Saccharomyces cerevisiae S288C: one gene and its partners. Changing the gene in region 1 together with any one later gene gives a genetic interaction. Each region holds a gene or a part of one and is shown in the gene's direction. Other genes may lie near its edges.

The links.
Region 2: mutations in AQY3 (region 1) and SPG4 together harm fitness less than expected from each alone (positive genetic interaction), as found in Saccharomyces cerevisiae (one large-scale study listed by BioGRID).
Region 3: mutations in AQY3 (region 1) and TRI1 together harm fitness less than expected from each alone (positive genetic interaction), as found in Saccharomyces cerevisiae (one large-scale study listed by BioGRID).

Annotation. Positions count from the first base shown.
Region 1 is NC_001138.5:19,039-25,365, reverse strand, and holds AQY3 (Aqy3p), read left to right. Parts: upstream 1-2,578; coding exon 2,579-4,519; downstream 4,520-6,327. Other genes in the region: DAK2 (dihydroxyacetone kinase), read right to left, coding at 168-1,943. UniProt on the Saccharomyces cerevisiae protein: Channel protein that mediates glycerol entry under ethanol stimulation. Does not seem to mediate glycerol uptake under standard conditions.
Region 2 is NC_001145.3:480,534-483,861, forward strand, and holds SPG4 (Spg4p), read left to right. Parts: upstream 1-2,480; coding exon 2,481-2,828; downstream 2,829-3,328. Other genes in the region: YMR106W-A (uncharacterized protein), read left to right, coding at 391-654. UniProt on the Saccharomyces cerevisiae protein: Stationary phase-essential protein not required for growth on nonfermentable carbon sources.
Region 3 is NC_001145.3:736,840-740,365, forward strand, and holds TRI1 (Tri1p), read left to right. Parts: upstream 1-2,345; coding exon 2,346-3,026; downstream 3,027-3,526. Other genes in the region: FUS2 (Fus2p), read left to right, coding at 87-2,120; RNH1 (RNA-DNA hybrid ribonuclease), read left to right, coding at 3,427-3,526. UniProt on the Saccharomyces cerevisiae protein: May be involved in transcription regulation.

The DNA of each region.
Region 1 (6,327 bases):
TTACTTTTTAGCTTAATTTGCGGTACTTCATCAATTCGTATATCTATAAAAATATATTCAGAGACACAACTAGTTCACCTTCAGTTGGAGTATTCAATTTTTTAAAAAGTTCAAAAATGAAAGCCTTTAAAGCTGTTATGTTTGGCTTCTAGTGTGTACGAGCAATTCTAGTACCCAGCAGCTGTAACAAATCCATCGAGTAGTGCAGCAAGACCAACTGCTCCTGGATCTGGTAATCCACCTTCGCTGTCGAGTTTTCTCAGCTCCTCCTTAGCCACGTAAGAAGCACGCCCAACAAGGGCATCCATCTTCCTTGTCTTTTCGGCACCATCATAAGCAGCTTGGGCGGCGGCTCTGGGACCCTTCCCGGCTTTCAGCGCTTCGACAAAAGGTTGCAGAGCATCGATCAGAGTCCTGTAACCAGGACGGGCTCTCGTATACTTATACAAAGCATCTAGTGCAACGTTTGATGCCTTTTTGAAAGTTTCCGCAGTAAGTTCCTTGTCCCCAGAATCCCTAACTCCTTGTGCGAGAGCAGAAAGATAGATAGAGTACAGACCACCGGACGTACCACCCATAGAATCCTCAACCATATACGCAATATCTTCGATACCAAGAGCAGCATCCTCGAGGCGCAACGTATGGTTTTTAATAGCTTCTTCCAATGCTTCACCACCGGACACAAGAGTAGTTCCGCAATCACCATCTCCTGCAATGGTATCGTACCAAGTAACCTTTGGTTCAACCTCGTTAATTTTTGCAATCCCAGCAAGCAAAATTTTAGCAAAAGTGTCATAATCAGCTTTCACACCCGAACCTTTTTCATTCCTCAATGTCTTTAAAGAGGGGGCGGTGGGAACCTGCCCTTTGGCAAGTACCTCCCAATCTTTGGCAGAATGGTACATTTGATTCCATCCACTCGCTGTGGTAGGATAATCGAAATACTTAAGGATATCGCCACCAGCTTTTGAAGCGTTCATAAGAGTGATACCAAACCCAGGACCATTCAATGCAGTAATGAATGCTCCAGTAATCGTTCTCTTGGGCACAATTTGATACTTATCAATCAATTGTTCAGAAATGACCTCTGCAGCATAACCCAATTCTAGATTAGACATACCACCCATGTTGTTAACCATAAGAACTACGTCCTCTTTGGGCTCAAACTTCACATAAGAACGGTCTTCATCCTCATCGAGAAGAAGAGGAAGCATCTGGGAAACGAGCTCAGAAATCGATGGCAGCGGAGAAGACTTATAGGTACCAGACTCGTTATGAATACCCATACCGATTTCATACTCATTCTCGCCCAAAATGGCTTCAGGTTTGTGGCCAGGAACCGTGCAGTGATCAAGAGATGCCGCAATTGTGACACTATTGTCAACTACTGACTGAGCAACTTCGGCAACTTCTGCCAACTCCAGTCCATGAGAAGCGGCTGCCCCAGCAATTTTATGCACCAATACGGTGGCTCCGAGACCTCGACGCCCGACTAAAGAACCTTTCTTCTTACCGACAGAGACATCATCTCCTACAGCAACCAGTTCGACTTTCATTCCAGCAGCTTTAGCTCTTTCAGCAGCGAGACCAAAATGTATAATATCACCGGTGTAATTTTTTACAATGATCAAGGTACCCTTAGGAGATTCAACAGCTTTAATAGCAGAATAGATCTGTTTAGTTGAAGGAGAAGCAAAAATGGCACCTGCTGCAATCGCATCTAAGGCACCTTCACCAACAAAACCGGCATGCGTTGGCTCATGACCACTGCCACCTCCAGAAACCAATGAAACTTTAGGAGGGTTCCCTGAATTAGGAGCTGACGCAGTCCGGAAAACCACTCTGTCGTGCTTAATCACTGTAAGGCCGGGATTGCTTCGAGCAAGGCCAAGTAGGTAGGGAGTAACGATGTTTCCATCTGATTTGAATTGTTTGTGAGACATGATTATTTAGTCAATTGTAGTTGGGTTTTGTCAGATTTTGAGGTAAAATACACTTTACAGACAATACTAGAAAAAAAAAGGGCTGATCTGGGTTCATTTATATATATTTAATGATCCAAAGTTTGAAAATTCAATCACACATTGCGGTATTTTCCCCTTCTCGTATTGTTGAGATCCTTATACAATATCAAGTACTTAATTATCCAACTATGGTGACGTAAGAATTTACTTGGCTCAATATCTCCCTATTTGGTACTACGATACGATTTCATGAAATTATGAGTTAAATAATTTAGAATCTAGTTATGGCCTGGCGGGAATTGTTTCTGTGCAGGGATTTACTCACAATCACCCTCTGCGGGAATAATATGCATAGGTTGTGATTAATTTTTTAAATTAAGTTCCATCAGAAGGCCTAGTTTTCTCCGTTGATAACTCCGCTCCGGAATATCATAATTTTCCGGTACCCCACTTACCCCGGAAATTTGAGTTATAAACGTTGTTTGAGCTTTACCTAGTCTTGGTCGATCAAAAGTTCTGGTACCTTTTCACCATGTCTCCCCCTTATTCATATAAAAAGAAGCGTATAATCGCACAGTATAACGCTCCTCTGATATATGATCTAGACCCAAGTAATGAGTTACGAATCTGGGAGGTCATCCTCCTCTTCCGAGAGTACACGGCCACCAACGCTAAAAGAAGAACCTAATGGTAAAATAGCTTGGGAAGAAAGTGTCAAAAAATCTAGGGAAAATAACGAAAATGACAGCACTCTCTTGAGGCGAAAGCTAGGTGAGACTCGAAAAGCAATTGAAACTGGAGGATCATCGAGAAATAAACTTTCTGCTTTGACACCCTTGAAAAAAGTGGTTGACGAGAGGAAGGATTCGGTACAACCACAGGTCCCTTCCATGGGTTTTACTTATTCTTTGCCTAATTTGAAGACTTTAAACAGTTTTTCAGATGCTGAGCAAGCACGTATAATGCAAGATTATCTATCCAGGGGGGTAAATCAAGGCAACAGTAATAATTATGTAGACCCACTATATCGGCAATTAAATCCAACTATGGGTAGTAGCAGGAACAGGCCTGTTTGGAGTTTAAATCAGCCGTTACCGCATGTATTGGATCGAGGCTTGGCAGCAAAGATGATACAAAAGAATATGGATGCAAGGTCCCGCGCATCATCGAGACGAGGGTCGACCGATATTTCAAGGGGGGGTTCTACTACGTCAGTGAAAGACTGGAAAAGGCTCCTTAGAGGTGCAGCACCGGGTAAAAAGCTTGGTGACATCGAAGCTCAAACGCAACGCGATAATACTGTTGGTGCAGATGTGAAACCTACTAAGTTAGAGCCTGAAAACCCACAAAAGCCCTCTAACACGCATATTGAGAATGTTTCACGTAAGAAAAAGCGTACTTCGCATAATGTCAATTTTTCATTAGGCGATGAAAGCTACGCATCCTCCATAGCCGATGCAGAATCCAGAAAATTAAAGAACATGCAAACCCTCGATGGTTCTACTCCGGTTTATACGAAGCTTCCTGAAGAACTTATTGAAGAGGAAAATAAAAGTACGAGTGCATTAGATGGTAATGAAATTGGTGCCTCAGAAGATGAAGACGCGGATATAATGACATTTCCTAACTTTTGGGCAAAAATTCGCTATCATATGCGAGAACCGTTTGCGGAGTTTCTCGGGACACTAGTTCTTGTCATTTTTGGTGTTGGTGGTAATCTTCAAGCAACTGTAACAAAAGGTAGTGGTGGTTCCTATGAATCCCTATCATTTGCATGGGGGTTCGGTTGTATGCTTGGTGTTTACGTCGCAGGCGGTATTAGTGGTGGTCATATTAACCCTGCTGTTACGATTTCAATGGCAATTTTTCGAAAATTCCCCTGGAAAAAGGTGCCCGTATATATTGTTGCTCAGATTATCGGTGCATATTTTGGAGGAGCTATGGCTTATGGTTATTTTTGGAGCTCTATCACAGAATTTGAGGGAGGTCCGCACATAAGAACAACGGCGACCGGTGCGTGTTTGTTTACTGATCCAAAGTCTTACGTCACGTGGAGAAATGCCTTCTTTGACGAATTCATAGGAGCCTCTATACTTGTGGGTTGTTTGATGGCGCTATTGGATGATAGTAATGCTCCACCTGGCAATGGTATGACCGCATTAATTATTGGATTCTTAGTCGCTGCAATTGGTATGGCCCTTGGATATCAAACAAGTTTCACAATCAATCCTGCAAGAGATCTCGGTCCTCGCATATTTGCTTCCATGATTGGCTATGGTCCACATGCTTTTCATCTCACACATTGGTGGTGGACATGGGGAGCCTGGGGTGGTCCAATTGCCGGCGGTATTGCTGGAGCACTCATATATGACATTTTCATTTTTACTGGATGCGAATCCCCAGTCAACTACCCAGACAACGGTTATATTGAGAATAGGGTAGGTAAACTTTTACATGCGGAGTTCCACCAGAATGATGGCACTGTCTCAGATGAATCTGGTGTTAACAGCAACAGCAACACTGGCAGCAAGAAATCTGTGCCTACTTCGTCATAATTAATATTTTCAATTTTTTACGATTTATAACCTAATTATTAATTTCACGAACTTATTATTTGACGACATACTACATCCGGGAGCCGTGACTTTGTTACCATCTCTTACTTGTGCTCTAAATTCTATCGTTTTGTTTTTGTAATAAAGAATGAGACTGCCTGCGGCTTAATTGTCTTTTTATTGTAGGCAAGAACAAAATTCGACTAATACGTAAAATTAAATGTCAAACCAGGAGTCTCACATTATGTTATTAATAAAAATAATAAAATTTTCAGCTCGTTGACGATAGGAAAATTCCTGGCACCATCAACTAGGTAATCCCACTGAAGATGTGTTTTATATGAATATGTGCTATATTTACTAATAATAAAGAGCAAGTTGCCAAATAAACTAATTGTGCTCAAAGAAAATTATTGTCATTATCATATATTTTCTCATATGCAATTTCAATCAATTTTAGACAAGTGATTATATATATGTAAACGGTTGTTTTTTGATGTTACGTTCTGTATGATTGACCAATGCTATTTTTCTCATGCGATATAAATTGGAGAAGTGCCATATTGATTTACGTTACTCAAGTTGTCAATTTCAGCCTGACGTTGAAAAAGATAACAAAATTTGCTCAGATAGGGGCAAAAATCACACTGCCAGCAAATATTTTAAGGATTGATACTTTGGCTAATCCAAGGCCAAAGCAGAAAAATCTATCACCTTTTTCAATTCACCCAACGTTCTCACTAAATGGATGAAAATTCGGTAGATTCTTATCGTATATTTCGTACCAATAACTTGAGTATACCGAACAATAATATAACTCGGCAGTCATTTCCGGCTATACCGTTTTCAGAAAGAGGTTGCCTTTTGATAATGTGGCCAAACGAGGAATTATCTGTTAAAGCCATTATTACATCTCTCAGCAAACTAGTTTTTTAAAGCCACCTCAGCAAAAAGCGCGACCAGGACTTCTTCGGATGTTCTTGGCGTTATTTTGAGTCTTTTGTTTGTTTTACTAAAACCCCCCTAAAGATTAATTATTCTCAAAAATAGTTAACAGGCTGTCTGTCGCCACTCGAAGTCCGGAAAAATGTGCACTTATCTTTTAAGTCCGCCTACCCCGCATCTTCTTTTCCAGGATATTTTTCTCCGAGCACAGAGATTCCGCAAGAGTTTAAAAGTACAATTAACCTTTTATCTTTAAGCTTTTTTTTCCGGAAATATAAGGTTTTCGTCAGGTAAATTTATTTTGGGAGCAGCAACAACATATTACACGTTCCACGTATTTCCCATGATAAAATATATTCATTTCCCCTAATATTTAACTACAATAGTCAGCTCTTCTACAATCCCTAAACGAGCTTTTGATTGGATAAGTGCAAATAAAACAAGAACAGTAATCTTGAATCTTGCATTTGCTCTTTTCTTTGGAAAACACGCAAGCTCGTATAAACTGTATTTTTCAGGAACAGGATAAGATGTGCTAGGTGAAAAGAGGTGCTTGGTCTAGAATATAACTCGGAGAAAAAGTCACCGGTCAAGAGGTTCTTGGGTTTATACCCTATGAAATTGATATTTCGGGTTGATTATCTTTTGTGCTAGAATATTGCTGTATAATATCTCATAAATGGTCTATGAAAAACCCTGGCCGGCGTAAAAACGTTCCGCAACCAATTTCTGAACCTTTTCATCCGGCAATTACTAGTGCTTTAACATTGATTTATTGTTTTTGCCGTAAATTTGATTTTTCTTCTTCTTTCTTTTCTCTTTCATAAACGACTTTCTTTATTTATACCATCTTACATATCCTT
Region 2 (3,328 bases), on another chromosome or scaffold:
AACTAGAAAAGGCCAGATGTCTTAAGTGTATATATTTTGAATGAGAATTATGTATGCAGCATATTTACTTGAATCTTCAAAAAAAGAAGCCCTGTAGGGGGCTCGAACCCCTAACCTTATGATTAAGAGTCATACGCGCTACCGATTGCGCCAACAAGGCTACTTATTGTTATTTACCGTCAGCTTGTATTCTTATATGTTGAGCTGGTTTTTTATCTCAGCTTTTACTTTCTCAAAGTTAATAAAACTATTCTTCTAGAACTTTTTTTCTGGATTTCGGTTGCTGAACTAGTTCAACAAAAATATTTATTTTAAAATTAAACTGGTTCAAGGTCTCATAGTCGATCATTTCCAATCAATCAAAGCAACCCACAAATCCTAGGCTGAATCATGATATCGATGGAAGCAATCAACAATTTTATCAAGACCGCACCAAAGCACGACTATCTGACAGGCGGAGTTCATCATTCTGGTAATGTAGACGTGTTACAATTAAGCGGCAATAAAGAAGATGGTAGTTTAGTATGGAACCATACTTTTGTTGATGTAGACAACAATGTGGTAGCTAAGTTTGAAGACGCTCTCGAAAAACTTGAAAGTTTGCACCGGCGCTCATCCTCATCCACAGGCAATGAAGAACACGCTAACGTTTAACCGAGGGGAGTCACTTCATAATGATGTGAGAAATAAGTGAATATTGTAATAATTGTTGGGACTCCATTGTCAACAAAAGCTATAATGTAGGTATACAGTATATACTAGAAGTTCTCCTCGAGGATCTTGGAATCCACAAAAGGGAGTCGATAAATCTATATAATAAAAATTACTTTATCTTCTTTCGTTTTATACGTTGTCGTTTATTATCCTATTACGTTATCAATCTTCGCATTTCAGCTTTCATTAGATTTGATGACTGTTTCTCAAACTTTATGTCATTTTCTTACACCGCATATGATTATATACTAGAAACATGAATACTACTAAATAGATGATAAATGGAGTTTCATTGCAATGGTGATAATGATTGTGATTTTATTTGTTGGAATAACAATCAACTATCATCCATTCACTGGTATCAATATTACTGGTATATTATCTTATATGGTGTAGGAAGATGGCATAATATTGAGAAACGGCTATCGGATGTGGTAAAAGCTAAAATGCGAAGATTGATAATGTAACAGGATAGTGAACGACAACGCATAAAATGGAAAAAGAGGTAATATCGTTATTATGTAAAATTATTTGTGTCCTTTGTGGACTCTAAGATCCTTGGAAATTTAAATGACCGGAGAATGAGGTCGCTATAATAGTTTCTATACTCATGGAAAATGCAACCGATAAACCATTATAAATCTTCGCGGTTATCTGGCATTGTTATTAACCAAAAAAATGCCGGCCTATTACAAGCTACTGTTCAATAAATATTGTTGTAATGAAGACGGTCCAACTGTACAAATACAGCAAACTGTCATATATAAGGAGTCTTATGTGACAGCACTTGCGTTATTGTCAGCCGGAGTATGTCTTTGTCGCATTCTGGGCTTTTTACTTTCTGCTCAGAAGGAAGTACGAACAAGAAAAAAAAATCACCAATGCTTCCCTTTTCAGTATTAGTTTCATATTTGTTTACGTTCAAACTCGTCGTTTGCGCGATAACCTCTAAAAAAGTCAATTACGTAACTATATCAATCAGAGAATGCAAAAAGCACTATCATAAAAATGTGTCTAGGGGATGTGAGACATGTCAATTATAAGAAGTGATGGTGTCATAGTATATATATCATAAAAGATTATCAAAGTTTCAATCCTTTGTATTTTCTAGTTTAGCGCCAACTTTTGACAAAACCTAAACTTTAGATAATCATCATTCTTACAATTTTTATCTGGATGGCAATAATCTCCTATATAAAGCCCAGATAAACTGTAAAAAGAATCCATCACTATTTGAAAAAAAGTCATCTGGCACGTTTAATTATCAGAGCAGAAATGATGAAGGGTGTTAGCGCCGTCCACTGATGTGCCTGGTAGTCATGATTTACGTATAACTAACACATCATGAGGACGGCGGCGTCACCCCAACGCAAAAGAGTGACTTCCCTGCGCTTTGCCAAAACCCCATACATCGCCATCTGGCTCCTGGCAGGGCGGTTGATGGACATCAGCCGCCTCCCTTAATTGCTAAAGCCTCCACAAGGCACAATTAAGCAATATTTCGGGAAAGTACACCAGTCAGTTTGCGCTTTTATGACTGGGTTCTAAGGTACTAGATGTGAAGTAGTGGTGACAGAATCAGGGAGATAAGAGGGAGCAGGGTGGGGTAATGATGTGCGATAACAATCTTGCTTGGCTAATCACCCCCATATCTTGTAGTGAGTATATAAATAGGAGCCTCCCTTCCTATTGCAACTCCATAAAATTTTTTTTTGTAGCCACTTCTGTAACAAGATAAATAAAACCAACTAATCGAGATATCAAATATGGGTAGTTTTTGGGACGCATTCGCAGTATACGACAAGAAAAAGCACGCAGATCCAAGTGTATATGGAGGAAACCATAACAACACAGGAGACAGTAAAACGCAGGTTATGTTTTCGAAAGAGTACCGTCAACCTAGGACACATCAGCAAGAGAACTTGCAGAGCATGAGAAGATCTTCCATAGGATCACAGGACAGTTCCGATGTTGAGGACGTTAAGGAAGGGAGATTACCCGCAGAAGTAGAAATACCAAAGAATGTTGACATCTCTAACATGTCGCAAGGTGAGTTTTTAAGACTTTACGAAAGTTTGAGGAGGGGGGAACCCGACAATAAAGTAAATAGATAAATGGAGGAGATATTCATAGTGTCTTTTCTTGTGTTGTCTATTTATTCTAACATGATTATATATTTATTATGCTTTTCAGTGTTTCCATTAGTTTTATATGATAGCATCCTTATGTCTTTTTTCATACCTATATAAGCAATAAGAAGTTATGTAAACAGAACTTTGCCACTAATACCATAATTACTGTCTTTTAGTATCATTGTCTGTCAGTCGGCACGGATGAAAGGTGACAAACGCCTAGCCGCCGGAGCCTGCCGGTACCGGCTTGGCTTCAGTTGCTGATCTCGGCGCGGAAAAATCAGCGCCCCACGCCAAAAGGTTCGTATTTTTTCTTTTTTTTTCTAATCTTCCATCTATTCGGTAGCGATGATTCATTTCTCTGAAAAAAAAAAAAAAAAAAAAAAATGAAAAAGAATATTTTTTTGATGAACTTGTATTTCTCTTATCTGGTTGATATATATGCTATCATTTATTTTCTTATCAAGTTTCCAAATTTCTAA
Region 3 (3,526 bases), on another chromosome or scaffold:
CAAAGTATCTTTTTTCTTTGTGAAACCAATTTTAGGTTTTCTTGTTATAGTAAGTTCTTAAGAAAAAGACAAGAAAACCCCTTGCGATGTTTAAGACTTCATATAACTTGTACGATTTGAACTATCCGAAAAATGATTCATTAACGCCAATAAGAGACTACAAAAATGACTATTTTCATAAAAATGATGACAAATTACCAGAAATTGTTAGAAAACCTACGAGAAAGTTATCGAAACATGAAAACAAACTCAACGATAAAAAATTCACGAATAAACGACCAGCAAGTCTGGACTTGCATTCTATAGTGGAGAGCCTGAGCAATAAAAAAATTTACTCTCCTATTAACACAGAGATATTTCAAAATGTCGTGAGACTGAATTTGAGCCCTCAGATTCCCAATTCTCCTCACGAGGGATGCAAATTTTATAAAATCGTACAGGAGTTTTACCTCTCTGAAGTGGAATATTACAATAATTTGTTAACCGCAAATAACGTATACAGAAAGGCATTGAATAGTGATCCAAGATTCAAGAATAAACTTGTCAAGCTTGATTCAAGTGACGAGCTATTGCTTTTTGGGAACATTGACACTATTGCGTCAATCAGCAAAATACTGGTAACGGCAATAAAAGACCTACTTTTAGCCAAGCAACGTGGGAAAATGTTGGATGCGAATGAATGGCAAAAGATATTCACCAAAAATGAGGTACAACAGCAGCTATATTCAACTTTTGATATTTCAGAGGCGTTCGAGCAACATTTGTTAAGAATCAAATCCACCTACACAAGCTATTTTGTTAGCCACCAAAAACAAATGGAACTATTTACTACATTAAGGATGAATAAGAATCATTTTTTTAACAAGTGGTATGAATATTGTTTAAAAGAGAGTGGATGTATAAAGTTAGAGGACATATTGAAAAGCCCGATGAAAAGACTGACTCAGTGGATTGATACTTTGGAAACTTTGGAAAGCTGTTACGAAGATATTCTTTCGCCAGAATTGGGCTTGAAACTAAGCCCGACAAGAAGAAAATATTCTTTATTTTCCAATAAGTTAGAAACCGAGGTCTCCGAGTATAAGAGTAATTCCATGTATAATTTCAGTTTAACCCCATCAGAGATTATACAAAGTTATGATGAAGATCAGTTTACACACCTTTTAAAACCCCCAGACAAACAAAATAAAAATATATGTAATGCATCTCGACAAGAGAGTAATTTGGATAATAGTAGAGTTCCTTCTCTTCTTTCTGGATCATCGAGTTACTACTCAGATGTATCAGGGCTAGAAATTGTCACTAATACTTCAACTGCCTCAGCTGAGATGATAAATCTAAAAATGGATGAAGAAACAGAATTTTTTACATTGGCAGATCACATCAGTAAATTCAAGAAAGTAATGAAAGGTTTGTTAGAATTAAAAAAGAATTTATTGAAAAACGATCTGTCAGGCATTATTGATATCAGTTTAAGAAGAATAAATGCATGGAAAAAGGTGATCGAGTGCGAACGCCCTTCTGGTGCATTTTTTGCGCACGATAACTTAATATCGACCATGTGTTCTTCGTACATAGATAAACTGCATGAACAAAAAAATCAAGTAACAATTTTGAAACTCACAGAGCTCGAAACAGATGTGATGAACCCACTTGAAAGAATCATAGCCCATTGTACTACCGTTAAAAGCAAACTAAAAGATTTGCAAGCTTTGAAGAAAGATTACATGTTATTTTTACAAGAAAAAAAAGCAAATGTGCGAGATATTAAACGTGACTTGTTGGGAATGCATTTCCAAAACCTGCAAAACCAGATGAAAAGGGAATTACCGGTCTTTATTACTTTGATCCACGATACTATCGAATGTATCTTGTTGAACTATATCAAAGTCTTCTTAAAATATTTGGAAATCATTGCTGGTGGAAAAAAATACCTGCAAAAAGATCTTGAAAATATGTCTCTTAATGACTCTATAGCTACCGGCCAAATTAAAAATCTTGATATTTTGCAGTGTTATTCTAAATCACGATATATGACAAAACGCATGGTAAGAAAAGATTGGCCTTTCCCTGGAGACCCTAGTGGAAGCCGTGTTGTCAGAAAACTTTTCGAACTTTAACAAAAGAGTATATTTAGCTTATAGTTTTTAGAATGTTTTGTTTTCTTTTTTATTAAAGTAGTACTACTGCGCTGGAGCAGTATATATGTTGAACTATAGTCAGTCACCTATAATTTGTTTGCTGGCGCGAAGGAGAAAGAAAATTTTAATTAATTCATGAAAAGCCTTAAGAAAAAGTTTAAGAGGAAATGAGCAAATAGAAGGCAAATAGAGGGTGAAAGCATTATGGCCGACATCAATAAATATATTCCGATGGTTGACGCTATTTTGAGCGTATCCAACCCCGATGAAATAAGCCCAAAAAGGGTGAGGAAAGCCCTGCAAATTCTCTATTCAGTTAATTTGGATTCACAAAGAAAGTTAATTAATGAATTGATTCTTGAGAGGTTCGGCGATATACAAGAAAACCCAAGAGTCTTAATTCCGAAGAACGACCTCATTAGTCGGGATCAAGAACTATCTTTGAGGTTACAGAAGGAAGAAGAAAGACCCTTGAGGTCTACGAGGAAAAGGAAAGGTAAAAGTGAAAGTAAATCTAAAAGGAAGAAGAAAAAGAATGATAGTCCTGATTCCAACAGCATTTCCGTCCGCAAAGTTCTGTTGTCAGCTCCTTTACAAAAGTTTCTAGGATCTGAAGAACTGCCACGAACGCAAGTAGTGAAGATGATATGGCAGTATATCAAAGAGCATGATCTTCAAAACCCAAAAGATCGTAGAGAAATTCTATGCGATGAGAAGATGGAACCAATTTTTGGCAAAAAAATGACGATGTTTTCAATGAATAAACTCTTAACTAAGCACTTGTTTAATCCCGATGAAATTGTGAAACATGAAGAGGAACAAAAGCAAACACCCGAAAAAGAAATCAAATTGGAAAACGAATCTCTTCCCAATTTAAGCGGTTGATCTTGGCTGTAGCACTTATACAAATTTAATGATTTTTTTTCCTCTTTGATGACATGTATAAAGCACACTGCACCTACTGTATTGTACTTGAAACAGGTAAATTAACAATTAATGTAGCATTAGTAATAAATAATTTCACTTCACGGCGTTAAAGAAATACTATGGCAAATTCGATTTGAGAATTTCGTCAAATTCTGATGATATCAATTAATGGCATATTTTTTTTATTTTTTATCTGGAGAAAAAAATGTAAAAATGACAGCAGCATCAACAATGAATAAAAGCAAGTACAATAGTCGTAAAGATCTATATTAATTTCATGGCAGCACAATAATACACGTTGTTTAAATTAGTTAAAGTGTCACTCCTTGCTTATCGAAGGAACTATCGATTCCTAATTATGGCAAGGCAAGGGAACTTCTACGCGGTTAGAAAGGGCAGGGAAACTGGGATCTATAATACATGGAATGAATGTAAAAACCAAGTTGATGGTTATGGTG